Linked DNA regions of Callithrix jacchus. The protein of the gene in region 5 purifies or fractionates together with the protein of the main gene of each other region. This does not show direct contact. Links are inferred from orthologs where the notes say so. Each region holds a gene or a part of one and is shown on either strand. Other genes may lie near its edges. The genes, in order: HNRNPU, PRMT1, LARP7, TSR1, SERBP1, RBM42 and DNM1L.

Evidence for each region.
Region 1: the proteins of SERBP1 (region 5) and HNRNPU purify together in Homo sapiens (affinity purification with mass spectrometry; 3 studies listed by BioGRID and IntAct, with this or other methods). This does not show direct contact. The link is inferred for Callithrix jacchus from reciprocal best matches to the Homo sapiens genes SERBP1 and HNRNPU.
Region 2: the proteins of SERBP1 (region 5) and PRMT1 purify together in Homo sapiens (affinity purification with mass spectrometry; 3 studies listed by BioGRID and IntAct, with this or other methods). This does not show direct contact. The link is inferred for Callithrix jacchus from reciprocal best matches to the Homo sapiens genes SERBP1 and PRMT1.
Region 3: the proteins of SERBP1 (region 5) and LARP7 purify together in Homo sapiens (affinity purification with mass spectrometry; 3 studies listed by BioGRID). This does not show direct contact. The link is inferred for Callithrix jacchus from reciprocal best matches to the Homo sapiens genes SERBP1 and LARP7.
Region 4: the proteins of SERBP1 (region 5) and TSR1 purify together in Homo sapiens (affinity purification with mass spectrometry; 3 studies listed by BioGRID and IntAct, with this or other methods). This does not show direct contact. The link is inferred for Callithrix jacchus from reciprocal best matches to the Homo sapiens genes SERBP1 and TSR1.
Region 6: the proteins of SERBP1 (region 5) and RBM42 purify together in Homo sapiens (affinity purification with mass spectrometry; 3 studies listed by BioGRID and IntAct, with this or other methods). This does not show direct contact. The link is inferred for Callithrix jacchus from reciprocal best matches to the Homo sapiens genes SERBP1 and RBM42.
Region 7: the proteins of SERBP1 (region 5) and DNM1L purify together in Homo sapiens (affinity purification with mass spectrometry; 3 studies listed by BioGRID and IntAct, with this or other methods). This does not show direct contact. The link is inferred for Callithrix jacchus from reciprocal best matches to the Homo sapiens genes SERBP1 and DNM1L.

What each region holds. Positions count from the first base shown.
Region 1 is NC_133520.1:41,327,376-41,331,493, reverse strand, and holds the start of HNRNPU (heterogeneous nuclear ribonucleoprotein U), read right to left. Parts: upstream 2,801-4,118; 5' UTR 2,619-2,800; coding exon 1,928-2,618; intron 1,034-1,927; coding exon 922-1,033; intron 835-921; coding exon 761-834; intron 1-760. UniProt on the Homo sapiens protein: DNA- and RNA-binding protein involved in several cellular processes such as nuclear chromatin organization, telomere-length regulation, transcription, mRNA alternative splicing and stability, Xist-mediated transcriptional silencing and mitotic cell progression.
Region 2 is NC_133523.1:43,444,021-43,448,274, reverse strand, and holds the start of PRMT1 (protein arginine N-methyltransferase 1), read right to left. Parts: upstream 2,801-4,254; 5' UTR 2,757-2,800; coding exon 2,721-2,756; intron 2,622-2,720; exon of another isoform or gene 2,440-2,621; intron 482-2,439; coding exon 428-481; intron 217-427; exon of another isoform or gene 120-216; coding exon of another isoform or gene 102-119; intron 1-101. UniProt on the Homo sapiens protein: Arginine methyltransferase that methylates (mono and asymmetric dimethylation) the guanidino nitrogens of arginyl residues present in proteins such as ESR1, histone H2, H3 and H4, FMR1, ILF3, HNRNPA1, HNRNPD, NFATC2IP, SUPT5H, TAF15, EWS, HABP4, SERBP1, RBM15, FOXO1, CHTOP, MAP3K5/ASK1, MICU1 and NPRL2.
Region 3 is NC_133504.1:84,550,414-84,553,913, forward strand, and holds part of LARP7 (la-related protein 7), read right to left. Parts: intron 338-3,500; 5' UTR 336-337; coding exon 134-335; intron 1-133. UniProt on the Homo sapiens protein: RNA-binding protein that specifically binds distinct small nuclear RNA (snRNAs) and regulates their processing and function.
Region 4 is NC_133506.1:65,921,096-65,924,595, reverse strand, and holds part of TSR1 (pre-rRNA-processing protein TSR1 homolog), read right to left. Parts: intron 3,133-3,500; coding exon 2,973-3,132; intron 2,537-2,972; coding exon 2,379-2,536; intron 2,118-2,378; coding exon 1,924-2,117; intron 831-1,923; coding exon 668-830; intron 1-667. UniProt on the Homo sapiens protein: Required during maturation of the 40S ribosomal subunit in the nucleolus.
Region 5 is NC_133508.1:104,649,693-104,653,192, forward strand, and holds part of SERBP1 (SERPINE1 mRNA-binding protein 1), read right to left. Parts: intron 1,666-3,500; coding exon 1,492-1,665; intron 1-1,491. UniProt on the Homo sapiens protein: Ribosome-binding protein that promotes ribosome hibernation, a process during which ribosomes are stabilized in an inactive state and preserved from proteasomal degradation.
Region 6 is NC_133523.1:31,829,416-31,833,426, reverse strand, and holds the start of RBM42 (RNA-binding protein 42), read right to left. Parts: upstream 2,801-4,011; 5' UTR 2,676-2,800; coding exon 2,548-2,675; intron 2,311-2,547; coding exon 2,166-2,310; intron 1-2,165. UniProt on the Homo sapiens protein: Binds (via the RRM domain) to the 3'-untranslated region (UTR) of CDKN1A mRNA.
Region 7 is NC_133510.1:38,741,723-38,744,789, forward strand, and holds the end of DNM1L (dynamin-1-like protein), read right to left. Parts: intron 2,811-3,067; coding exon 2,651-2,810; intron 2,357-2,650; coding exon 2,300-2,356; 3' UTR 501-2,299; downstream 1-500. UniProt on the Homo sapiens protein: Functions in mitochondrial and peroxisomal division.

The DNA.
Region 1 (4,118 bases), on a different chromosome or scaffold from region 5:
TTATCAGAGTTGTGCATTCTGATCACTAAACCAACTACAGTTTTTATAGCAACAACAAAGCCCACTTAGAGGTTTGCAATACTTCCTCATACTAATTGCAACCCAACTGGGTAAAGTAGCAGTATTTACAGTGCTGCACTGTCATTGATACCATTTCGCTGCTGAAGAAAGCTAGTGGCCCAGTGATAGCCCACTGCTGCTGCCTCAGGTCTTTGGAAGAAATCAACTTATGTTTAAAGCAGCAGCTACTGAACTGGAATTGAGAACAAAGAGCAGTTATTGAAAATAATATTACAATCTTTTAGAATAGGGAATATATTCGTGTGCTAATGGGAAAAGTCATTAGTTAATATATAACTAGCCCAAATAGCTCACTTAATAGAATTCCACAAAAAAATTAATTACTTTATTGTAGGAGCCTGTAAGTCTGAACTATAGGTAGTTTTACAAGTTTCCGTCAGATAGTCAAAAACTGGCATTAATTTTACATTTCCTAAGAATGAGAACTTTCAAGTCATAAAAATATGAAACTGCTAGAGCCTGTAACATTCCATTTAATACAACTGATGCTGTGCTAAATATTACACTGCGTGCTTCCGAATAGAAACCATTACCTTCCTGCTTTCAAAACCTCACCGAAGTTTTCAGCACTTAAGCTCAACATAGACTGCATTAAATTTTCTAACATTTTGGAACCAAAAACAAAAAAACGAAAAACCACCACTGCATTTCATAATTGGGGAGAAACAGCTTCACTTACAAGTATCAAGACAAACCACTGTGTCATCGAAGTGTTCATCTTCTTCTTCAACAGGTGGCTGAGGAGATTTGGCTCTGAAAGATAGAAGTGTCTCCTGATACAGCTTTCTGATCAACAAACCAGTAAGTGCTGACGAGTAAAACTAGGGGAGCATCCTGTACCTGCTATACTTGTTCTCTTCAATGTACTCAAAATATCCGCGGCCGTGATCTTCTCGTGGTCTCTTAACACCTCTCTTTTTATCTCCGCCTTTCTGTTCTGTTTTGCCATCCCCTAAAACACACAACACCCCCATAAGAGGTCAAGCCGCTAAACAACACAACACCCTTTTCCGAGGCCGAGGCACAAAGCAGCTCGATTTACCCGGCTTTTTAAATGAGCTTTTAACCGAGGACTCAAATGTGCCTTCAAAGAACAATCAGACAGGAATTAGATTGGCGCTAGTGACGCAGTCTAAAGACGTTACTAATTTTGCCAGTCTCCTCGATGATTCGAGAAGGCCAGAGAGAAACTGCACGGACCAAGCCAGGAGCCCACGTGTATCCCGAAGAGGGCGCACGGAGCAGACGGGGGGAGGGGGGCGGGGGGGGGCGTCCAGCCCGGCGCTTCGGCGCTCCCCTCCCCCGCAGGCCCGCGCTCCCCGCGGCCGCATTGTACAGATCTTCCGCCCGCCGCCCCGCCCGGCACCTCCCGCCGGAAGTGACGTCACGCCGAGCCCCTGTGCTCCTTGCACAATACAGTGGCGAGAAGCCGCCAAAGCGCGCCCGCCCCGGGACCTCGGGCCTCTCCCCTCCCCCCGAGACATGTGCCCGCACCGCGCGCACGCAGCGCGACGGCGCCACCGCGGGCCGACGAAGCTCCCTCCCGCCGCCGGCCCGCGGCTCCTCCCCCTCCAGCGGCAGCTGCAGCTCCCCCCAGCTCTCGAGCCACATAATGGAGGCGCTGCCACCGCCGTCACACGCGCGCACCACCCCCCCCCCCCCGAGCCCGAGGCCTCTCGGCTAATCTGGGATTCCCCGCGCCCCCTCCCCCACCCGCCAGCCTCGCCGCGGCCCCCGCCCGCCCGCCCGGGGGCTCCCTCCCCCTGCGGGGCTCCGGCAGGCCTGGGGCACGGTCCCCACCCCGCGCGGGCCTCCCGCCGCGCGCAACGTACAACGCAGCACTCACCCGCCGCCGGAGCCCCGGGGCGACCGCCGCCTCCGCCGCCTTCCGCCTTCTTCTTACCTCCCGCCTGCTGCTGGCCCTGCCTCGCCCCGGGCGGCGCCACCGTCACCGCGAACAGCGAGGTGGGGCCGCTGCTCTTCCCCGCGGCCTCCTTGGCGGCCCCGCGCTGCTGTTGGGGCTGTTGCTGCTGCGTCGCCGGCGGTTGAGGCTGCTGCTCCCCGTGCCCGTTCTCGTCGCCCGCGCCTTCCTCTTCGTCCCCGAGCTCATCTTCCCCTTCCTGGAAACCCTGATCGTCGCCGTTCTCGTCTTCCGAGGCGGCCTCCTCCTCCTCCATCGGGCCCGCGTCGGCCGCCCCCGCGGCCCCGTTCTCCTCCCCTAGCTCCATCTGGTCTCCGTCCAGGGCGGAGATCCCCTCCTCCTCCTCCTCCTCCTCCTCCTCCTCTTCGTCGCCGCCGGCCGCGGCCTCCTGCTCGAGGCCTGCTCCCGAGCGCCCGGCGGAATCCCCGCCCAGGTCGAGGCTGCCGTTCCCAGGCTCCATGGCGGGGCGGCCCCCGGCCTCCTCGTCGTCCAGCGCGGCCTGGAGTCGCTCCATGAGCTCGGCCTTGAGGCCCTTGTCAGAAAGGCGTCGCTTCTTGAGCTCCTCTTTCAGCTCCGACACCTTCAGCTTTTTTACATTAACAGGCGAGGAACTCATGGTGAGGGCCCCGATTCACCGCTAGGCGCTGCCTCAAACTCGGCTCCGCTCACTCGGCCACTGGTGGCGGCTGCTGCGGCTGCTCCTCGGCCCGGGCGGCGGCTGCGGCTTAGGCTGCGGCTGGAGATGGGTTCGTGCTGCAGAGCGGATCCGCCTGATGTCGAACGGCGCCAATTCCTTTCACCGAGTTCGCGACGGAGACGCGGAGACTCGCCTGGCGCGAGCGAGCACGCAACGTCCTCTCGCAGGGGCGGTGCCGCGCACGTAATATAGCCGCCCCGCCCCTTGCGCTGACGGGAGCGCTGCGCCGGGGGAAAGCCGGAGCGCGCCCGCGCTCGGCCCCGCCCATTACCGTACTTATCTCCCCGCCCCCACGCTGCACCCCGCCCGAGAGCGCGGCGTAGGCCGTGCAGTGCGCTTCCAATTGGGACTGAGCAAATGGAGGAAAAGGAAACCGCCTTTCAGTTAAACCGACCCACTGCACGATCTGTTGGCCTTTCTGGGGCTTTGGTGGCTCTACTCGTTTTGCTTTTTGCCTTCCCAGCCTGAAGGCTGTTTTATCCAAATGCTTTCTTCAGTCCTCAATTTGCCATTTCAACCCGAGTCCGCCTTTTCTTCCATCTTAGATCTGCCTTCTTAGATGGGTCTCCAGCCATTCGTTTAAAACTCCTTAAAATCGTGTTTCAGTTTTGAGTGGCATAACACGCTGGCAACTGTTATACGCAGGGGTTCCTTTCCGCATAATCCTGTTATTTGATTTAATTTGTGTAAGTCCGGCCTTGCGAACTGGTTTTCAAGTTCGGGAAGGGCAAGCGCAGAGCTGTTCTTTTGTCTGTTGCACACCCGGCCGCAGGGCCTGGGAAGCAGAGGCTTGCTTGCTACTCCGTAGTGTAAATCCTCACTTACCCAGCCTTTTCGGGGCAGCTGGTATCAAGCTCCTAATAACCCTGAAGAAGCCTCAGAATTGCACTTCCAAGTTTTCTGTACCTACCGCAAAGACGGACCTCCTTGTTCTGTCCACCTTAGGACCTGCTCATCCGGCTGTGAAGTCCCGGTAACTAACAGTGAGGGTGAGACCCAGCGAGGGCATACACTTCGATCTCTTTCTATTCCTGTAGAAATACTCTTGACGAAATCATTCTGAAACTTAAAAGTTCATAAAAATCAATGGTTGTGATTTTGTAAAAAGAAAAATGGATTATCGCGCTTGAAAATAAACCTGATATTTTGTTGTATGTTTGAAGTTTACGTTTTCTCATTAAAGATGTGATGTTCTTGAAGTTTTACATAGGGAAGGCAGACTTTAGATTTGTGATAGAGGTTAACAGCTTAAGCCCCAGATAATCTGCGGTGTCCAGCCAGTGTTCCGGCTCACGACGGAGATGGTTTATGCCCACGGTTTGGTGCTCTAGGTGGCACAATAATATTGTCTCAATATTAATTTGAAATTTCGAAGTATAGACATTGAAATTTCTCCCATAGGCTAATATGATTTAACTG
Region 2 (4,254 bases), on a different chromosome or scaffold from region 5:
ATGACAACCCTACAGCCCCCCAGGAACCCCAAAACCTAACAGCCCCATTTTCCACTTCCACGACCCCCCCCAGAGCACCATCCAGGGGAGCACCCCAATACCTCAGCCACGCCTACCATATCTCCAGTCTCTCTGCCCCCGTCTCTAGCTCAGCCCACAGCTGGGGAGGGGAGGGGAAGGAAAACGGGGGCAGACACAGGGAAGGGCAAAGGGGGGCTGGAGGTGGAGTTAAGGAAGTAGCCTTGATACTGGGGGAGGCCAGCAGGGCCGTGAACCTGGAGGGGTTGCTACTAAGTGTCTGGGGGCCTGGGGTCAACTGGTTTGAAGCAAGAGGGGTATGATTAGACCTCGAGAAAGGGCCAGTGTGTGGCAAGATATACTGATGTGGAGGTCAGGGTGGGGAGGGGTCTCACAAAAGGATATTTACTTCTTCAAGAGGCGGCTGGAGGCTCATCCCATTAGCCAAGGTGGCTACAAAATTCTAGGAGAGAGTAACAGGGAAAAAGGATTAGCTACCAGGAGTGGCTGCAGGGGGCTGGGCGGCGGGACCTGGGCTCTGGCAGGAGGTGGGGTGGGTGGGTTTCCAGCAATTCTTCTTCTTTGTGGGGAGTGGTGGCAAAGGGGGCAAGTAATGAGGTGGGGTGCTTAAGAAGGGATGGGAAAAGTGAGGGGAGAGAAAAGAAAGGGGGTCTCCGACCCCAGCTGTGGCTGGAGAGATGGTGGCCCGCCCCCACGTTGCTCCTCTCTGGCCAGGCAGCTGACCACACACCTCCCCCATCCAGGCCAGGGAAATTGGCACTGGCCACCGCCAGCTGTCGCTCCCCCTCATCACATAATCTCCCCCAGATTAGGTGACACTTCCTGACACACACACCCCTATCCTAGGGTGCCATGAATAGCAGGAGGGAGGGGGGCTGGCAGGCTATGCCCACAGGGCATCTGCCACCTCTGCAAACCAGTCTCTTGTCTGAGAGGATTCCAGAAAAGAGGTTTGGCCCACAGGCACTCCCCCAGAGCTAGTACCCCAGTCCCCAGCTCCTGCCTTGGGCTCAGGAGCCCCCAAACAAAACCAGCGGGAACCAACCCCCTCCCTTACAACCCTCTGCCCTGGAAGATGGAGTCCCAGGGATGATGGGCAGCCCCTGGACTCTCTAAGAATGAGAGGACTCCAGAAAGTGGCTTGGGGAGTCAGCCCATCGCCTCCATTCAGACACCCATCCTAGGCCCTGAAGACCCCTAGGTGCGGCCAAGCCTGAGGCCACCCCTGGGGAAGATATTTCCTCCACCCTTAGAGCCCTGGTGCAGGAGACCGCCAAGGGGGTGGGAAGTCATAGCAGTGACCCCTGGGAACTGCATCCTGAGAGCTGACCTGCCCCTCCAGCCAGTGCCATAGGTAAGGGGTGGAAGAACAGAGGTCCCATCAGATTACATCTCTTCCAGATGTGACCACTTTCCAAGTCTCCAAGAAGGGCCACATCACAGGCCATGACCTACTAGGCTGCAAGCACCCTCCCCCCAGCTCTCCCAAGCCAGCGCGGATGCCTATAAGAAGTGCTGGGGGGTTTTCCCGCGGGGGCCCATTTCTCAATCACGCTGAAAACTACCTCAAGACAATTCCAGCCCAAGAGGGCTTGAAACGCAAGACGGAAACCTCCCCCACATGGCTGAAAGAGAACCCAACCTAACTCGAAACCCTTTCAGGCAGCCAGCCTCAGGACCCCGGGGTTCAGGACCCCCTGGGGGGGGGGTCATCTCCCGCCCTCACAAAGGCCCGGGGGAGATAAAGGGCTCCAGGAGAGGATAAAGCTCTCAGCCTACGTATTTCCCACCACCACTCATTCCCAGCGGATATACCCTCCTCCCTCCCCCGCCCGGAAGAAATCCGACGGTAGGTGGGCTTCGGGACACGCCCCATGAAAAAGATGTTCCTCCCACACACCCAGAAATGGCCACAAGGGGGTGCACGGCACCTATTAATGGGAAAATCTCCACCTAGATGCCCCACAACCACCCAGAGGGAGGTCACAGGGGCATGCCCCATCCCCCAACTCCTAAAGCTCTGGGCTAGGGGGAGAATTCTGAGATGGGAAACGGGGTCGGGGGGACCCCATTCTTTTGTCTTCCTCCAGTGCCTAACCCAGAACGCACAAAACCGGGGCCGCTGTCCCAACAGATGTCCCCGGAGCTCGGAAGGAGGTTGTAAAGGGCTGAGAAGCACTGCCCTTCCCCAGAGACTCCCTACATCTTGGTGGGCCCCAGATCAATCCCACCCCAAGGCGTGTGCCCGCGTCTCCGGGGAGGAGAGCTGGTGGCCTCAGACGGAGGGTCGGGCCCCCTCCCCGCCCCCCCGGGCGCCCCTCCCCGGCCGGGGGCGGGGCCTTTGTCCCGCACGTGGAGCCCGCCAGGCCACCGGACTCGGCACACCCCCTCCCCACCCACCGCGCCGAGGCCACGTGGGGGCCTGGCCGGAAGCGCCCCCAGCCCCCCTCCACGTGGGAGGGGGGATGAGACCCTCCGCTAGGCCGGATGCCGAAGGCCCTTGAAAGCTAGGGAACCGCAACTTAAAACGATATCCCCGGATGCGGAGCGTGCGGTGACCCCGTGTGCGGCGGGCGACCTCTAACCTCCTGTCGCCGACTTAGAGCCCTTTCCCCACCACAGAGCTGTGAAACACCGACCCAAAGCCGCCCCCCTCTCAAGGCGGCGCTTCAAGCGCTCACCTCCATGATGCAGTTCGCGGCCTCGGCTGCCGCCATCTTCACCCGCACCTAATCCTCCTCCGGCCGCCAAGACCCCCCCTTTCTCCTCACTCCCCCGGGACCGTCTTATACCAGAAGGTCTAGGGCCCGCCTACCGCGACCCCGCCGGAAGATTTCATTGGTAAAGGAGGCAGCCCGTCTGAGAATACCGTCTAGTTATTGGGTAGAGAAGACGTCGATCATAGGTCAGGGGTTTGCCAACTCTGGCGCCCAGAGTCCCGCCCCCTCAAGTCGACCTGGGATGGGGAAAACTGCCCGTCTATTGCAAAAAGCGCGACTGGTGATTGGGCAAAGTCTACATAAATGCCCGCCCCTTTACCCCAGCACCGCCTCAAAGCTTCCCGGCGAGCCCCGCGCTAAAGGGGCGTCTCGAAATGCCTGTCCATCACCAAAACGACCCGCCTCCTCATCGCTCCCATTGATTTATCCTAACATGACGTCACGCAGCCCTTGGCCCACCCTCGCCAAGCGGCCGGCTTCAAGGAGAACACGACGATTGGCCCAAGGGTAGTGAAGGAGGCGGGGTTTCAGGCACCACCGATTGGCTCAAAGGAACTCCCACTCCTCGAACACTCGGTGGATTTTCCCAGGCCGGGGAGGGTCTGGAGGAAAAAGGGGGCTTGTGCCCATTCTGGGGGGAAAAAAACTGAATCAGTGAGAGGAAGGGCCTGTCTGGGGTCCCTAAGCAAGTGAGGAATAGGTGTCCGCCTCAACACATTAAATCCTTATATCCTAGCCTTTGACATAATCATTCCAAGTTTGTTTTTTGTTTTTGTTTTTCTTTTCTTTTTTTTTTTTTGAGACAGAGTTTCGCTCTTGTTACCCAGGCTGGAGTGCAATGGCGCGATCTCGGCTCACTGCAACCTCCGCCTCCTGGGTTCAGGCAATTCTGCTTCAGCCTCCCGAGTAGCTGGGATTACAGGCACGCACCACCATGCCCAGCTAATTTTTTATATTTTTAGTAGAGACGGGGTTTCACCATGTTGACCAGGATGGTCTCGATCTCTTGACCTCGTGATCCACCCGCCTCGGCCTCCCAAAGTGCTGGGATTACAGGCTTGAGCCACCGCGCCCGGTCCTGTTTTTCGTTTTTTTGTGATGGAGTCTTGCTCTGTATCTCAGGCTGGAATGCAGTGGTGCGATCTCGGCTCACTGCTGTCTCCGCCTCCCAGGTTGGTTGAAACGATTCTCCTGCCTTAGCCTCCCGAGTAGCTGGGACTACAGGCGCGTGCCACCACACCCACCTAATTTTTGTATTTTCAGTAGAGACCGGGTTTCATTGTGTTGGCCAGGCTTGTCTTGAACTCCTGACCTCACGATCCACCCGCCTCAGCCTCCCAAAGTGCTGGGATTACAGGCCTGAGCCACCACACCAGGCCCATTCCAAGTTTTTTAAGCCCATCAACCCCTCTCCAGACTCTTGGTTTTTGCCAAGTCCCTACCACTGCCAGGAACTCCCACCTCTCTTTGTCTGGCCAGCTTCTCAACGTCAATT
Region 3 (3,500 bases), on a different chromosome or scaffold from region 5:
GAAACAGAGCAAGACTCCGTGTCAAAGAAAAAAAAAAAAGAATATACTACTTTATAAGTAAATTCAGAGGCAACCATTAAATTCAGAGGCAACCATTATCCACAAGTTGGTCCCTTTACTGAAGCAAACTTACATCCATCTCTAGATTTTTCTATCTGTTCTCGAAGAAATCTATCCTTGTGAAGATTTGCATCCCCAAACCAGAAGTCCACTTGCTTAGCAATATCTGCAAGCACCTGTTTAACTCGTGATCGTTTCTTTTTTTCAACTTCTTTTTTCTTTTCAGTGCTTTCTTCTTCCATTATCTTTTCTTGATTTCCACTTTCAGTTTCCATTCCTGTGCATTATAAGAAAAAGAGGTAAATATTTAAATCAGCAAAACAGCAAATATAGTTTAATTTAGAGTAGCCTTTAATTGTCTGAGAGAATAATGGTCTCATCATTTGGCTGTCAGAAGACAAAAGGAAAATTTATTTTTATATTTAATAATTTAAATTATAAAATAATTTACCTCCTATGTTAGAAATCGCAGCTTTAGTTTTTTTCCACCTTTTAAATTGCAGGGCCAGATTATTCTAGTATAACATAACAACTATGCGTTTATCTCACTAAGCTGTACTTTTAAGCCAGTAAATGAAAAGTGTAAGATTAAGCAACCTGGATATTTTCCATCACAACCACCACCCTCCCCCACCAAATAAGTTTTATTCACTTTTCTTTTTTTGAAATGAAGTTTCATTCTTGTTGCCCAGGCTGGAGTGCAATGGTGTGATCTTGGCTCACTGCAACCTCCGTCTCCTGGGTTCAAGCAATTCTCCAGTCTGAGCCTCCTGAGTAGCTGGGAATTACAGGTGCCCACCACTACACCCGGCTAACTTTTGATATTTTTGGTAGAGATGGGGTTTCACCATGTTGGCCAGGCTGGTCTGGAACCCCTGACCTCAGGTGATCTACCTGCCTTGGCCTCCCAAAGTACTGGCATTGGCCGGTGTGCCCGGCCTATTCAGATTTTTAATATTATAACCTTTATGGGACAAAATAAAAATAAACTGATTATTGATTTTGATTTTTAAAATGTTAATTTATGCTTTCTAGAGGCAGAAATTTCTTTTTTTACTTTTTTTTTAATCTTTTTTTTTTTTTTTAGATGGGGTTTCACATGTTGGTCAGGCTGGTCTTGAACTCCCAACCTCAGGTGATCCGCCTGCCTTGGCCTCCAAAGTGCTTGGATTATAGGCCTTAGCCACCACGCCTGGCCTCTTGGGCAGCAATTTCTAACCCCCTCCTTCCTCAAGTTACTTTGCATAGCTCTTCCCCTTTGCTTTGTCAGCTCCAGTCATACTGTCCTTGTTGTACTTCCTGAAACTCACCCAGCAAAATCTATCAGGTCTAAACCTGTTCTTGAAACACATATCCCCAGCGATAACAGCTTGCTCTCCTACCTCCTCAAGTGCCTATTTAAAGGTCACCTCTTTGAAGTCTCCTCCCACAACCATATTTAATAATGCAAATTTCTGGACACATACATGGTAACTTCCATGTCTTATTTTCGTCCATAGCATTTATCATCTAACATTACTACAACTACTTTGCAATTCATTTTCTTTCCTAGAATGTAAGATCAATGAAATCAGAGATTTTTGTCTGTTTTGTTTACTGACAGATTGTCAGTCCCTGCCACAACAGTCCCTTAAAAATCTGTTGAATAAATTGTGCCTACATTTTGTTGAATGAATTGAATCACTTGAGGTATATGAGCAAAGGATCCGGTCTGGGATAACACAGCCTGCTTGAGAATAACCTCAGTCTCCCATAATACAGTCTTCTTGGAAACTGGAGAAACCAATGGGGAGTGTTGTATCTGTTTCCCATGTTGTACCTGGTTTGGAGCAGCTATTGAATGACATGGAGGCCTTATACCTATGTGACCGGAACAACAGATTGACAGGCAAAAGGTGTTAAAGCTTTTATGTGTCAAATTATCCTAAACACACCTTGGTCCTTATCTAGGGAAGCCATACATGCCTCTTGTGGGTAAATGGGAGAAAAAAGAAACGAATCTGGGTAATTGCTAGATATAATGGCTTGGCCATTGCTGGGATGAAGAAGCTATATCTACCCTATCTTTTGCCTTGTATCTTTCTTTGGTAAACATAGTATTTGAATCACTTGAGTCTGATAGCTGGTAAGAGGGTCCAAAGCCCTTAATGCATTTCACCTCAAATCTCCAACTAAACATGCATTCTCATCAACAGAAGGACATTTTGGCATTTTAGAACAGGCTTCAGTAGATCAGTCAAGCACCAAGTTTGAAGATATCCAAGTAATATCATATTTAGGTGATGCTAATTTAAGACATAAAACACAGCTACAGGTCAGAATAATAGAAAAACAATCAGGTGTCATTAAGTACCACATAACCACGTTCTTCACCTAATGGTCTTACTTCAACCCATTCTGTCAGGCTTTCCTCTGCACCATTCTAGAGATACTGCAAAGTCCTCAATGGGCTTGGTCTACTTGACCTCTCAGCAGCAAATGCAGTTGGTAACTTCCTCCTTGAAAATACTTTCTTCGGCTGGTCATGGTGGCTCACACCTGTAATCCCAGCACTTTGGGAGGCTGATTACAGATGCCTGCCACCATGTCTGGCTAATTTTGTATTTTTAGTAGAGATGGGGTTTCACCATGTTAGTCAGGCTGGCCTTGAACTCCTGACCTCAGGTGATTCACCTACCTTGGCCTCCTTCAACTTATTTAAGGATGCCATATTCCACCAAAAATTAACCAATCAAGCTATTTATTAGCTGTGTGGATTTTGAGGAAGTTACACCATCTCTCTGTGGTCTATAAAACATGGATAAAAATCATACCTATGTAATAGTCGTCAGCATTAGCCAAAATAATGAAAATAAAGTACTTCAAATTGCTGATACACAGAACACAATAAGTAACCATTATTCTATTCAATCTGTTGTTAAATCTTATCAGTTTGACTTTTGAAATGGCTCCTCATCTCCATCCAGTGTTTTCTGCAACTACTGTCACTAGAATATGGCCACAGTTTATAAACTGTTCTGTAAGTCATCTGTTCTCAGCAGGAGCCTATGTATAACCCATCTAAAATACAGACTTGGTTTTGTGATGCTTATGTCAAAACATGCAACATTTGAAATTCCTAAGCACCTTCCTGTAACATAATACACAATTTAAGAAAACATTGCTTAAAAAAAAAGTAACATTTTACTGGAATAAAAGTTACCATGTAACACCACCAGTTACTTTATATACATTTTTGTAAATCCTCACAATCCCACAAGGTAGCAGTTTCTTCCTTTTTTTTTTTTTTTTTTTTTAGACACTGTCTTGCTCTGTCACCCTGGGTGGAGTACAGTGGCACAATCTTGGCTCACTACAACCTCCGCCTCTGGGATGCATGGTTAATTTTTGTACTTTTAGTAGAGACAGGGTGCCATGTTGGTCAGGCTGGTTCTTCCATC
Region 4 (3,500 bases), on a different chromosome or scaffold from region 5:
TGGGTTCAGGCAATTCTCCTGCCTCAGCCTCCCGAGTAGCTGGGATTACAGGCACGCGCCACCATGCCCAACTAATTTTTTTGTGTTTTTAGTAGAGACGGGGTTTCACCATGTTGACCAGGATGGTCTTGATCTCTTGACCTCATGATCCATGGGCCTCAGCCTCCCAAAGTGCTGGGATTACAGGCGTGAGCCACCGCGCCCGGCCTGTTTTGTTTTGTTTTTTTTTTTGTTTTGTTTTGTTTTTTTTGAGATGGAGTCTCACTGTCGCCCAGGCAGGAGTGCAATGGCATGATCTCTGTTCACTGCAAACTCCCCGTCCTGGGTTCAAGCAATTCTCCTGCCTCGGCCTCCCAAGTGGCTGGGATTACAGTCATGCACCACCACACCCAGCTAATTTTGTATTTTCAGCAGAGATGGGGTTTCTCCATGTTGGCCAGGCTGCTCTCGAACTCCTGACCTCAGGTGGCCTGCCCACCCCGGCCTCCCAAAGTGTTGGGATTACAGGTGAGCCACTACACCTGGGCTGTTTCCAGTATCATTCTTGTCGATGACTCAGGGGCTCCCCTAATTTCCCAACGCAGCATATTTCCATGCCAAGAGAAGGAGTAAAGTGGGAGCATGTTGACAAATGAAAGCAACATACAAGATGGACAAGGGCAGATACCTCAGCTCCTTCAACCTCTTTTTCTTCAATCTCCTTAAAGATGCTTTTCCTGCTATTAGTAAAGTTCTGAAACTGAAATATCCGAGCATACTCTTGAGGAAGGTTTTCCTTAGGATCCCATGGAGATGTCCGGAAGCTCTTGAGGCCTCTGTATTTCTGAAATCTAGAATATTGAAGATTTTATAAAAATTAAGTCAGATTTACATGGTGCTATATAGACTCAAGTCACTGCTAAAATGGCTAAGGATCTAGCTCAAAAGAACTCCAATCACTATCTCTCAAAATAAACTATCAGCTTAAACCAAGACCACACTGCAAAACAACTTGTAACAAGTTGTATCAGAACCAAACCCAAGCTTCCCACTGACAAAAGACAAAGGATTTATAGTGGCTCCCTGACAAAAAAGATGTTTGGTAATGACCTGGTATAGTTCAGATGTGTGTCCGTGCCCAAATCTCATATTGAAATACAATCTCCAATGTTGGAGGTGGAGCCTGGTGGGAGGTGACTGGATTATGAGAGAGGTTTTCTCATGAATGGCTTAGCACCATCCCCGTTGGTGAGTGCGTTCTCATGAGATCTGGTTGTTTAGAAGTGTTAGCACATCCTGCCTCAGTCTCTTGTTCCTACTCTGGCCATGTGACATAACTTGCTCCCCTTCTGCCTTCTGCCATGATTGTAAGTTTTTTTCAGGCTGCCCCAAAAGCTGAACAGATGCCAGCACTATGCTTCCTGTACAGCCTGCAAAACCATGAGCCAATTAAATCTCTTTTCTTTATAAATTACGCAGTCTCTGGTACTTCTTCATAGCAGTGCGAGAATGGCTTAATACACAGCCTTATCTCCTTAATATCCAAGATTAATTCACTGGCTTTAGTCACTCACCTCCAGAATAGATATAATCATCTACATCTTCACTCTTCTACTTCTGCTATTCTACCCAAACCCCCTAAAATCTCCAAACATTATATACTTCAATTGAGTATTGGCTCCTTTGGGAAGAAGTATTTGCTAATTAACCTTAGTATTTCTCCTTCATTAAAGTCCTGTAATAGTAGTCTGTACCACAGTCTAGAACTTGATTATATATTACCATTTCCTGTATGTATGTATGTATGTATGTCTTGCCTTCCCATATTAAATGTTAGCTCTTCAGGAGCAGGAAAAATGTGTTTTTCTTCTTTTGTATCACAGTGACATAGCTCTGAGCCAAGTTTTTAAAACCTATTGACTTAATTTAGATTTACTGACTAACCGAATTCTAGCAGCCACATCACGGGGGGTGTCCACCTCATCCGGAAACATCTCTTCCAGTCTTTCTTGTTTATATTTCTCCAACTTTTTTGCCTCAGCTTCTTCATCTACTTTCTTATCATACAGATCATCATGCACAGACTCCCCTATAGTCATAGTTTCATATTCTTCCTCTTCTTCTTCACTACTCTCATCCTGTAGAATAAAGGATTATTTATTTCAGAAGAAATCCACACCCTAAAGGCCAATAAGCTAAGAGTAAAATAATTGTATTGGATACCTATTCCCAACTAACATAGATTCTAATACGGCCTAAAGCAGAAAACAAAAGCCTCATTCCTGGCAACTAGAGTCATTCCTAAGAAACTAAACATACACACCCCTCAAGATTACAATTGCACTTTGCTTTATGTTTGAAGCTAGACACAGAAATGGCCTAAGGCCTCATTTCCTTACCTGAGATTCTTCTTCCATAAAATCCTCATGTTCCATATCATCATATTCATCTCCTTCCCCATCACTTTGGCTGCCACTATCCAAAATCCATTCAGCTTGGTAACTGGATGTTCCTTTGGGGACCTTCTTTACCACCTTAGAACTTTCCTTCAAGAAATCTGTAAAAGCCCAAACAAATTAAGTAAATTATAGCTATCCTTTCCCTATCCCTCTGGTTATTCTCACCCAGGCAAGGCACTAGACGCTGCTGCCAACATGGGAAATTCCAGCAGACACCATAAGCAGAACTAACTACTTCTAAATTTAATTCCGTTGCCTCACAACTAGCAATACTTACACAGCTAAATAAGCCCTGCAATGAATCCAAAGTTGTTTATCTGTTCATGATAAAACATTAACACAAGTTATTTTGAGAAATGGAACAAAGCTGTGTCTAATGTTTGTTTAGTGAAAACATATAACATTTGAGGATGAGGAGAGACTTTCAAATATATCCCTATCCCACTCTATCCCATATGGTTCTCACTCTGAAGAGCTAGAGGAAATCCACAATTCCAGGTCAGATGAATTACAAACAAGTTTACCAATACCAACCCTTTGCCTCACTCATCTCCTCCTCAGTGGGCCAGGTTTGCTCCCCCTCCATTGGATCTGGGATAACCTCTGTTTGCAAGGATTCCTGTCTATCAGGGTCTGCCTTCATTAGGACCTTAAGGTCTTCTTCCATATCATCTACAGTATCCGTAGCACAAATCTGAAAACCAAAAAAGCAGGTGATAGTCAACCATTAACCAAAAATCTCCCAAATCAAACAGAATAACCAGAAAGACCCAGAAATACCGGTCCTCATGTAGAAGATGAATGCAACAGAATGCCAAAACTTGTCAAAATTTTTCAAATGACCATTTTCTAATTTCCAGGGTTTTTTTTTTTTTTTTTTTCCGGAGACAGTGTTTTTCTCTTGTTCAAGCTGGAGTGCGATGGGTCACTGCAACCTCCGCCTTCCGGGTTCAAGCGATTCTCCTGCCTCAGCCGGATTACAGGCATGCGCTACCACACCCAGCTAATTTTGTATTTTTAGTAGAGACAGTGCTTCTCCATGTTGACCAGGCTGGTCTCAAA
Region 5 (3,500 bases):
AACAGGTTTCACGATTTTTACCAGGCTGGTCTCAAACTCCAAACCTCAGGTGATTTTCACCCAGGCTTCACAAAGTACTAAGATCACAGGCGTGAGCCACTGTGCCCAGCCAGTTACTTTATTTTTCCAATAAACCACACAAGTAGATTCACATGCAATTATGTATGTGAATTCACACTGCTGTTCAGTAATTCCTCTTTTTATTCTTTTTGAGACAGTCTCGCTCTGCAGCCCAGGCTGGGGTGCAGTGGCGCGATCTCAGCTCACTGCAACCTCTGCTTCCAAGGTTCAAGCAATTCTCCTGCCTCAGCCTCCCAAGTAGCTGGGACTACAGGCATGCACCACCGTGCCCAGCTAATGTTTGCATTTTTAGTAGAGACGGGATTTCACCAAGTTAGCCAGGATGGTCTCGATCTCCTGAGCTTATGATCCCCCCACCTCAGTCTCCCAAAGTGCTGGGATTACACGCATTAGCCACTGTGCCCGGCCTGTTGTTCAGTATTCTTATACTTTTTCCACTTGCTAAGTAAGAATGGCATAAATGTGAAAAAGCATGCTAAGAAACTAATATTTAAGTAGCAACAATCAACAAGGTAATAAGTCTGAAAAAAGGAGTCCAAACTGCTTTTTACAGCCACAGAACTAAAAAAGGTATGGGAAAAACCCATCAACCTAATTGCTGCCTTAAAAAAAAAAAAAAGCAGATTGGTCTTAGAGGTAGAAACAAAGTATCATTACACTGGCAGTAAAGACCACAAAATCTATACTATTAAGTTATCCTTATAATCAAAGACAGACTGAATCAAGCAGGTGGGTCCCTGAATTTGTGTATCAGGTGCTGAGAATTTAGGTGGACATTATGGTTGTTTCCAAGCATCAGATCTGAGTTCATATCTATCAATTACTTGGGAATTCATCAAAATATTTAGCTAAGAACTTATTTTGTGACACGCACTGTTCAAGGCATTGGAGAGATTATAGAAAATAAGACAAAAATGAATTCCAGATTTCACAGTAGAGTCTAGTAAAAGAAAAAGTGTCAACAATCATGAGTGTCACAAAAGAAGTTATACAGGGAACACAACGGTTATTAAGCGGAGACCTAAAAAGCAGTTAGGAATTATCAAAGTGAACAACTGGTTTTCAGGTAAACCTTAGCAAAGGCCAAGAGTTAACTTGATTCACTCTATCAGTTTCCTCATGTGGAAAATGAGAATGTCATCATAGTAACAAGAATTAAATGACATTAAGCACACAAAATGCCTAGCCCAGCACCAGGACCGGCACCTAACAGGAACTCTAAAGTGTGGCAATTAAACATTACTAACTTTATACAAAAAGGCATTTAAGTGCTTTAAACAAAAATATAACCTAACATGTGTTTTCCTGAAGACATGGCTACTACTTCTACTTACGTTCACAAAAAGACCCAGTCAGTGACTTATAAGAGGTCCTTAAATTACTTAAAAGGAAAAGAAGGACTTAAATTACCTTGTCGGTCCTGCTGCCACGGTTTGGGCGTCCACCACGCCCACGTCCACCTCGTCCTCCCCTGCCACCACGTCCTGGGCGGCCAAGGTCTCCAAAATTGATCTCTAGCTGAGACGTTATATCATTTGCTGGCTTCCGGAAATGATGGTCCATAACCGAATCTTCAGCATGAGCCTAAAAATATAAGTGAAGACGACTGAGTAAGTAGTAGAAAAGCAATGTTGCAAAATTCCTAAATAATAAGCTTTCTTCTAAAATGACCAAAACTCCAAAAACTGTACTTTCTGTCAACAAACGTCTCCACAGGTAACAAGCTATACTCAGCTATAGTGATCTTGAAGAAAGAATTTCCTTCACTTCTCTCTATCTCAAAATTGCAGGTAATACCAGCAGTCCTCAACTAAAGTCATATATGTTATCACAATCAACGCAAATAGCTGAAACCCATCCCAGACCTACTGAATCATAATCTTTAGCAGTGAAATCTGGACAAATACATTTTAAATATGCCCTTCAGTTTAGGACTCCAATGTGAATCCTTGATGTAGACCTTTGGATAGAAGACATATAAGGTTATTTTACTAGTACTAACATTGAAGTTAAAAAGAACACTCAAGTTAAAAAGAAAACCTCTGTTCTACACTCTTCCAACTACAACTTGGGTAAAGACAGTATTACATATAAACTTCTTAGAAGCATTTTCTGTTAATATACAACTATTATGTTTTTCTATACAAATTAGAGCTACAAATTCAAGTAAAACACTACACACTTTACATTAAGAGGGAAACACTGGAAAGCTATGCACAAAGATAACCACACACATTGGAAAGCTATGCACAAAGAGGACCAAATGTTAAATATGTCAGGAACCTTTTTTTTTTTTTTCTTTTAAGACAAAAATCTCACTCTGTCACCCAGACTGGAGTGCAGTGGCATGATCTGGGCTCACTGCAACCTCTACCTCCCAGGCTCAAGCAATCCTCCCACCTCAGCCTCCCAAGTAGCTGGGACTACAGGCACATTCCATGACAACTGGCTAATTTTTTAAAAATTTTTTATGGAGACAGGTTTTTGCAGTGTTGCTCAGGCTGGTCTCAAAACCCTGGGCTTAAGAGATCCATTGGCCTTGGCCTTTCAAAGTGCCGGGACTACAGGCATGAGCCACAGTGCCCAATTAGAACCTTCTTAAAAATGTAGTCATGTTTGTGAAATCCAGTTTTTCTATTTATATAAAGATACATGACCCAGTCCGGGGGAAAAAAGCAAAAGGTCAGACAATTCTACACTGCTCGATGCCTGTTGTCTTCTTGTATGCTTGGGATGGGTTTTATCTTCTAAAATCTTTGCTTATTTGACTTTAAAGTACAGTTTTTCCTAAATACATGTAAAAAAAAAAATCCTTCTCTTTAAGGGATAATAAACATTTTATTCTTTCAGTAGAACCTGTACTATTACAACTCCATTAGATTCAACTTACAATATTACAGCTGTTAATAACTACCCTCTGAAGTGCAAATAAACTTGTTTTAATCTATGTTTTCAACCCTTACATCATCTCATAATAGTATTCAATGTCATCCCATTGTGCCACATCAATACACTGTAAGGCAACAGAAAGTTCTAATACTAATTTAAGTGGAGCCCAGAAACTTAAAAACAAATTCACAAAAACATCAGTAAATTAAAGTCAATTATATATGCTGTCTGATTTTTAAATGTTTTCTATTTCAAACCAATGCTTTCAATTCATTACAAACCACAGATCAAAAATATTCAGAAAAAAAATAAAACCAACCAACCACATAAAAATAAAAAATAAAGTCAGGTGTGGTGGCTCACACCTGTAATCCCAGCACTCTGGGAGGCAGAGGCAGTAAGACTGCTTGAGCCCAGGAGTTCAAGATCAGCCTGGGTGATACCTAACATGGTGAGACCCTTCTCTATAAAAAATAAAATTAGCTGGCCTTGGTGGCACAGGCATGAGTTCCCCAGCTACTCAGGAGGCT
Region 6 (4,011 bases), on a different chromosome or scaffold from region 5:
CCAATCTCACAACACAAGCCAGGGTCCTTTTTTTTTTGAGATGGAGTTTTGCTCTTGTTACCCAGGCTGGAGTGCAATGCCGCAATCTTGGCTCACCGCAACCTCCGCCTCCTGGGTTCAGGCAATTCTCCTGCCTCAGCCTCCTGAGTAGCTGGGATTACAGGCACGCGCCACCGTGCCCAGCTAATTTTTTGTATTCTTAGTAGAGACGGAGTTTCACTATGTTGACCAGGATGGTCTCGATCTCTTGACCTCGTGATCCACCTGCCTCGGCCTCCCAAAGTGCTGGGATTACAGGCTTGAGCCACCGAGCCCGGCCGGGTCCTTTTTTTTAAAATTTTTTTTTTTTTGAGACAGAGTCTCACTCTGTCACCAGACTGGAGTGCAGTGGTGTGATCTCGGCTCACTGCAACCTTCGCCTCCCAGGTTCAAGCGGTTTTCCTGCCCTAGCCTCTCTTGCAGCTGGGAATACAAGTAAGTGCCACCATGCCCAGCTAATTTTTGTATTTTTAGTAAAGATGGGATTTCACCATGTTGGCCAGGATTGTCTCGATCTCTTGACCTTGTGATCCACCCGTCTCAGCCTCCCAAAGTGCTGGATTACAGGCGTGAGCCACCACGCCGGCCACCTCAGGACCTTTGCATTGGTAGTTCTCTGCTGGGAGTGCTCTTCCCCCAGACATCTGCATGGTTCCCTCCATGTCTCCTTTGTATCTTTGCTTAAATGTGATTTCCTCAGAAAGGACTTCTGTGTCTGTGCTAAGGAACTTCCATCCTTCTTAACATACTTTTATTTATTTATTTATTTTGAGATTGAGTTTCACTCTGTTGACCAGGCTAGAACACAGTGGTGTGATCTCAGCTCACTGCAACCTCTGCCTCCCAGGTTCAAGCGATCCTTCCGCCTCAGCCTCCCAAGTAGCTGGGATTACAGGCGTGTGCTACCAGGCCTGGCTAATTTTTTTTTTTTTTTCTTTCTTTTTTTTTTTTGAGACGGAGTCTTGCTCTATTGCCAGGCTGGAGTGCAGTGGCATGATCTCAGCTCACTGCAACCTCTTCCTCAAAGGTTCAAGCAATTCTCCTGCCTCAGCTTCCCAAGTAGCTGGACTACAGGTGCGCGCCACCACGTCCAGCTAATTTTTTTTGTTTTCAGTAGAGATGGGGTTTCACCATATTGGCCAGGATGATCTTGATCTCTTGACCTTGTGATCCAACCACCTCAGTCTCCCAAAGTGCTGGGGTTACAGGTGTGAGCCACCCGTCCTGGCCAATTTTTCTATTTTTTTAGTGGAAACCATATTTCACTAGGTAGGCCAGGCTGGTCTCCAACTCCTGACCTCAAGCAATCCGCCCACCTCAGCCTCCCAAAGTGCTGGGATTACAGGCCCCAAAAATACAGTGATTATTTTTGTTTTGTACTTGGCTATAATGCTGAATGCCTAGAATAATGACTGGTGCATAAAAGGCACCTGATAATTATTTGTTGACAGAATGATCAAGTTTCATTTGCTCATTTTCATTTTTTAACTTGAATTTTTTGCAGAGACTAGGTTTTACTCTGTCACCCAGGCTGGGGTGCAGCTGCATGATCATAGCTCACTGCAGTCTTGAACTCCTGGGCTCAAACAATCCTCCTACCTCAGTCTCCCCAGTAGCCCTGACTACAGGCTTGTGCCACGAGGCCTGGCTAATTTTTCTGCCTTTTCTTTTTTTTTTTGGAGAGAGAGGATCTGTGTTGCCCAGGCTGACTCCTGGCCTCCAGCGATCTTCCTGCCTTGGCCTCCCAAAATGCTGGGATTACAGGCGTGTCCAGCCTGTTTTCATCATAATAATTTATCTCTTCTTCTCTACTATTCATATATGGTTGGCTATTGAGCACTTGAAATGTGACTGGGAATAAGGAACTATTAAATATAAATTTTAAATATATCAGAACATTTCCGTTATTGCAGAAAGCTCTACGGGACAGCATGCTCTAGAATATAAGCTCCCAAAGGGCAGAAATGTCTGTCTCAGTCATTACTGTGTTCTCAGTGCCTGACACACAAAATATTTGTCATGCTAATTAGTCAACAAACCAAAACGTCAACAGCTCTCTGTACACAAACACCTACTGTGTTAGAGATATTGTGTTCCCTGACTTATATGCCTTAGCTCAACCGTACCTGCTGGTATGTGTTTGTCGCGATAATTGGGCGGATCACAGGAGCCGCTGGGACCTGCATCGCTTCTACCGTGGGGACCGTGGGCACTGCAGGCACAGCAGTTGGGATTCCGGGTACTGGAGCCCCTAGAACTTCCTGCTCAAACCTGGAGGAATAGAACAGACACCAGAGCTCAGGATCTCGTACCAATTTTGGAACTCTGGGTATACTTCGCGGGGACCGTCACCCCTGCCAACCTCTCCCCTATCCCCACCCCCACAATCCCGAAGGTCCCATTTCCCCACGTTAGAGCGCATCTCTGGCCAATCGAGGCCTGGAGGCTCCGGGATTCGGAGGCTCTGGCTCTGGGACGACTTTTATCTCTCCCTGTCGTGGGCCTTACAGGGCCATCTCCGCCTCCATTTCCTTCAAGCGTTCCTCGCCGCTCTTGCCCGGGATGCCAGTGCCAGGGCCCGGGACCACGGGTCCTCCTGCACCCGGGAGTCCCGGGGCTGGCCCCGCCCCAGCCATCGCTGCCGCCGTCGCTGTCGCCGCTACTACTGTCTCAGCCTAGACGCCGCCGCCGCCGCCGGTTCTGCTGTCTACTCTCCTCCTTCGTCAGGGTGGGCTCACCGAGGATGACGTCCAGCAAAAGCGACGGGCGCTGACACATGACGTCATAAATCCGGGCGCGAGGGCCAATGAGACCTGGCCACACCCTCAGGGGGAATCCAGGCCAATGAGAGTGAGAGAATGACAAACAAACGCAAGAACCTGGGCCTATGAGAGCGCAGTGAAGATAGGCGGTCTCGCCTTCCTGGAGGAACACAGGCTAATGAGAGCAAAGCAAAGTCAGTTGGTCCCGTCCCCAATGTGGAATCTGGACCTTTGAGAACGCAGGAAAGTTCGGAGGCCCCTCCTGTGCCACCGCGAAGCCCGCGCTGGAAGTTTTAAAAGACGCTGAAGTCCGCGTCAACCTCAGGGTTGGGCAAGGCTGGGAGGCCTAGCTGGGGTCTGGGGCTGAGGGCTGGGGGCTCCTACCCTGGGGTAGGTTGACACTCGACCTGTGGTTCCCATGAAGACTAGAGATGCCCGGGAGGAAGCGCCTGACCCGAGCTTCCTGGCGGAGGACATCTGAAGACATTTGAAGATGAGACGAGATATTCAGGGTGGGAGCCAAGGCCCACACTAGTGCAACGCAGAGGGGCACGTGCGTGGGCTTGGTCCCTGTCCTTTCTTGGGACACAGCTGACCCCTCTTTTTTTTTCTTCCCCGTAGCCCTCAAAGTGTTTTATTCTGAATATTTTCAAACATGCACATTAGAGGGACTAGTATAACAAACTCTTAAGTACCTCTCAAACGCTATCAATATTCGACACATCTGGATTTCACCTGATCTATGCTTCTCTTATTTTTTATTTTAATTAATTAATTTTGAGATAAGAGTCTCGCTCTGTTGCCCAGGCTGCAGTGGAGTGGTGCCGTCTCGGTTTATTGCAACATGCACCTTCCAGGTTCAAGCTATACTCTTGCCTCAGCCTCCCGAGCAGCTGGGATTATAGGAGGGTGTCACCACGCCTGGCTCATTTTTGTGTTTTTAGAGGACACGGGGTTTCACCATGTTGGCCAGGCCGGTTTTGAACTTCAGACCTCAGGTGATCCGCCCGCCTCAGCTTCCCAAAGTGCTGGGATTACAGGCATTAGCCACCATGCCCAGCTATTGTATGTATGTATGTATGTATGTATGTATTTTTGTATGTATTTATTTAGAGACGGAGTCTTGCTCTTGTCGCTCAGGCTGCAGTGCAGTGGTGTGATTTCAGCTCACTGCAACCTCCACCTCCTGGGTTCAAGCAATTCTCTTGCC
Region 7 (3,067 bases), on a different chromosome or scaffold from region 5:
ACCCCCCCAAAATAAAATATGCACTCGTGAGAATATTAAAAAGTATCCAGGCAAGGAAAGTTTTTAGGTCAAACCTAAAGGATTTGGAATCAAGACTGAGTTCAGCTCTGCAAACATGAGGCAAATTAATTCTCCAGAACTATTTCCATATCTGAAAAAAAAGGCAGTGGCCGGGCCTCCCTGTTGCCCTGAGGATCAAGTGAATCACATATGAAATGATTAATCAGATTTCTTTTGAAAATCTTACAGGCTGCAGAGCATGGCTTTAGTGTTCAAATTCTAGCCATTTACTACCTGGATTACTTGGAGCAAGTCACTGTGTTCATACACAAAAATGGCAATATAATAATACCTTGGTGAACTGTCAGAATCTGGTAGGAAAAAAATCATAGAACGTTTAGTACTCTATACGATTGTTTCAAAGTAGATTTAGATATTAAAAAGCTCCTTTTCTTCCTTTCTGTGGGAGAAAACCTAAGAATTTTTTTGACAAACTTTAATGTCATTTCATACCAGCAATTTTATTTACACAGCAAGAATATACAGGTATCCATTGTAAATGTCAGAGATCATCTCTACATTTCAGAACTTGACTCAGTTTAAGGGCCAACAAAAGAACGTTTTTTCTCTTTCCATTAAGTTTCTTGCCTCTGTTTTTCGTTGTACAAAATGTGTAGTACTAGCAAGTGCATTACCATAGCATGTCTTTAATTTTCAGTTTGAAATCTGATGTGCTAGAGAAAAGTGCATCGTAAGTTTTTTGGGTTTTTTCCCCTTACGAATTCAGAAGACTATCTGGAAAAAGTAAATCGTGGATGGCTATAATTTTGAAACTGATGCTTAATGACAGCAGAGTGATTTTTAAATGTGGTAACAAAAGTTTTGGGAGCATGTATCCCGTCAAGATGGTACTAGTAACAGATTCAAGGTAGTGCCATATCATATCAGACTTATATGGGATTTTTAATGTTTGAGATCAGTTGGCGAGCCTGTTGTTCCTTAGTAAATTGGTACAGTAAGCTAAAGTTAACATTCATATTTTCCCTGCCAATAGTCCTTCATAAATATCTGATCATAAACTGAAAAAAATTTAATATCTATAATATAAATATGTTGTCTGTTAGTGATGGGGCTGGATGTCAGGTATATCTTAAAATTTATAATGTAGTTTATACCAAGAATCACCTGGGGATTTATATGTTCTAAACCTCATCACTACCCCATAAATGGCAGTTTAAGTCTGTAAGTCTTAAGGAGTTTGTCTGTCTGGGTGTTTTTCTTTCAATAACAAAGCTCCTCCGGTACTTTCATACTATTCTAATATATTTTGTTGGAATATATTTTGTTTGTATGCGCTAAAGCAAAAGTAGCTATTACCAGCATACACATACAGTATATTGGTTTTAAGTCCCATCTCAAAGTGAATCTTAGAGGCTGGTGTAAGTGCTCCATTTTAAAGATGTACCTTCGTTGTTACTACTACTGTATTTGCAAGTTAAGGGAAATTTAGGTCATCACTGGATCTTCTAAAACTAAAAGGAACCGGCCATCATTACCAACTCTTACTAGATAATCAAGGGTAGATGGCTGTTGTTTTTAATGTAGGAATTAATGTAGGCATTCATGCTTACAGGTTTAAGTATGAATCAAAGCATATTTTAATATGCTAGGGCAAATGGACCCAGAATTGGAAGGGCTATGTAACTACACAGTATGCACGCCACATCCATGTCCGTGTCACAGATCCTCTTATGCATTCAGCTTTCTTAAAAACACATCAAAGGCTGCAGAGTAGCTCAGAAAAAGTAAATTGAAGGACAGGTGGAATACAATGACTGTATGTGAGGAACTTGCCAACCCACATCTTTCAAAGCCAGTTCAGTTTATACAGTACATGCATTATAGTCAAATGAAATGTTGTCTTGGTGCTTTCTTCTTGGAGGACTATGGCAGCAGCTTTAAGACTACTAACAAAGATTACACAGGTCATCTTATCCACAGGCAAACTGCTTTGTACAACTAGAACATTAACAGTTCTTCTTAAGTTTAGATGAAACTGTCACAAGACAGACTTGATGTATTTTATGTATGTTGGGAAACTTTAGAAACAGCCATTTATTATTTGGATTAAATGTGTGATTTGTTCTGCAATATGGAATACACTTTTCAGTTTATAGCCAGTCTTCACATGAGCAGATTCATGCCATTGCAGTACACAGGAGTTCATAAATAAAATTCTACTCAGGCAGTAACTAGCAAGTTTTTGAGTCAACAAAGTCTGAGTAGTATATAGTTCTCTTCACCAAAGATGAGTCTCTCGGATTTCAGCAATAATTTGACTGGCTCCTTGTAATGCCTGCATTAAAGGAAATAAAAATTTTAAATGCTTATTATAAAGTTATGAAATTAATCAGAATTGTGCAGGGTAATTTTTCCAGTGTATATGTGGTAGGTTTATATTAACCAATATTAGAATCTAATTAGAATCTAATCAAGTACCAACAAGAAACAAACCAAGCTAGAATATAAAGACTATATATACATATATATATACACACATACACACACACACACACATATATATATCCAAGAATCCAAACTGCATTTCTGTCTACTGCCAAAGTATAAAAACTCAAAAGTTTCACAGTACCTTTAGCATATCAGCTGCTTCTTTCCTGCGCTGTGCCATGTCCTCAGATTCAGTCAGAAGATCATCCAATAAGGATGATTTATACAGCTGGCCTACTAGCTCACTCTGAAGAGTGTCTTTCACATGATTAACCAAAAAATGCATTACTGCCTTTGGCACACTGCAAAACAAAGCCAAATTATGGAATTTTAGCCAAAATTCTACTTTTAATAATTTGGGCTTAGATGCTGACCTCATGAAATAAGAACACTGTACTACTTTGGATATTTCATTAATGGCATAATTGCCCTTTAGATTTTTGCTTAATTATAATTTAAGAAAAGCAACAGTTCAGTGGCTAATGCCTGTAATCCCAGCACTTTGGGAGGCCAAGGTAGGTGGACTGCTTGAGGCTAGGAGTTTAGTTTGAGACCAGCC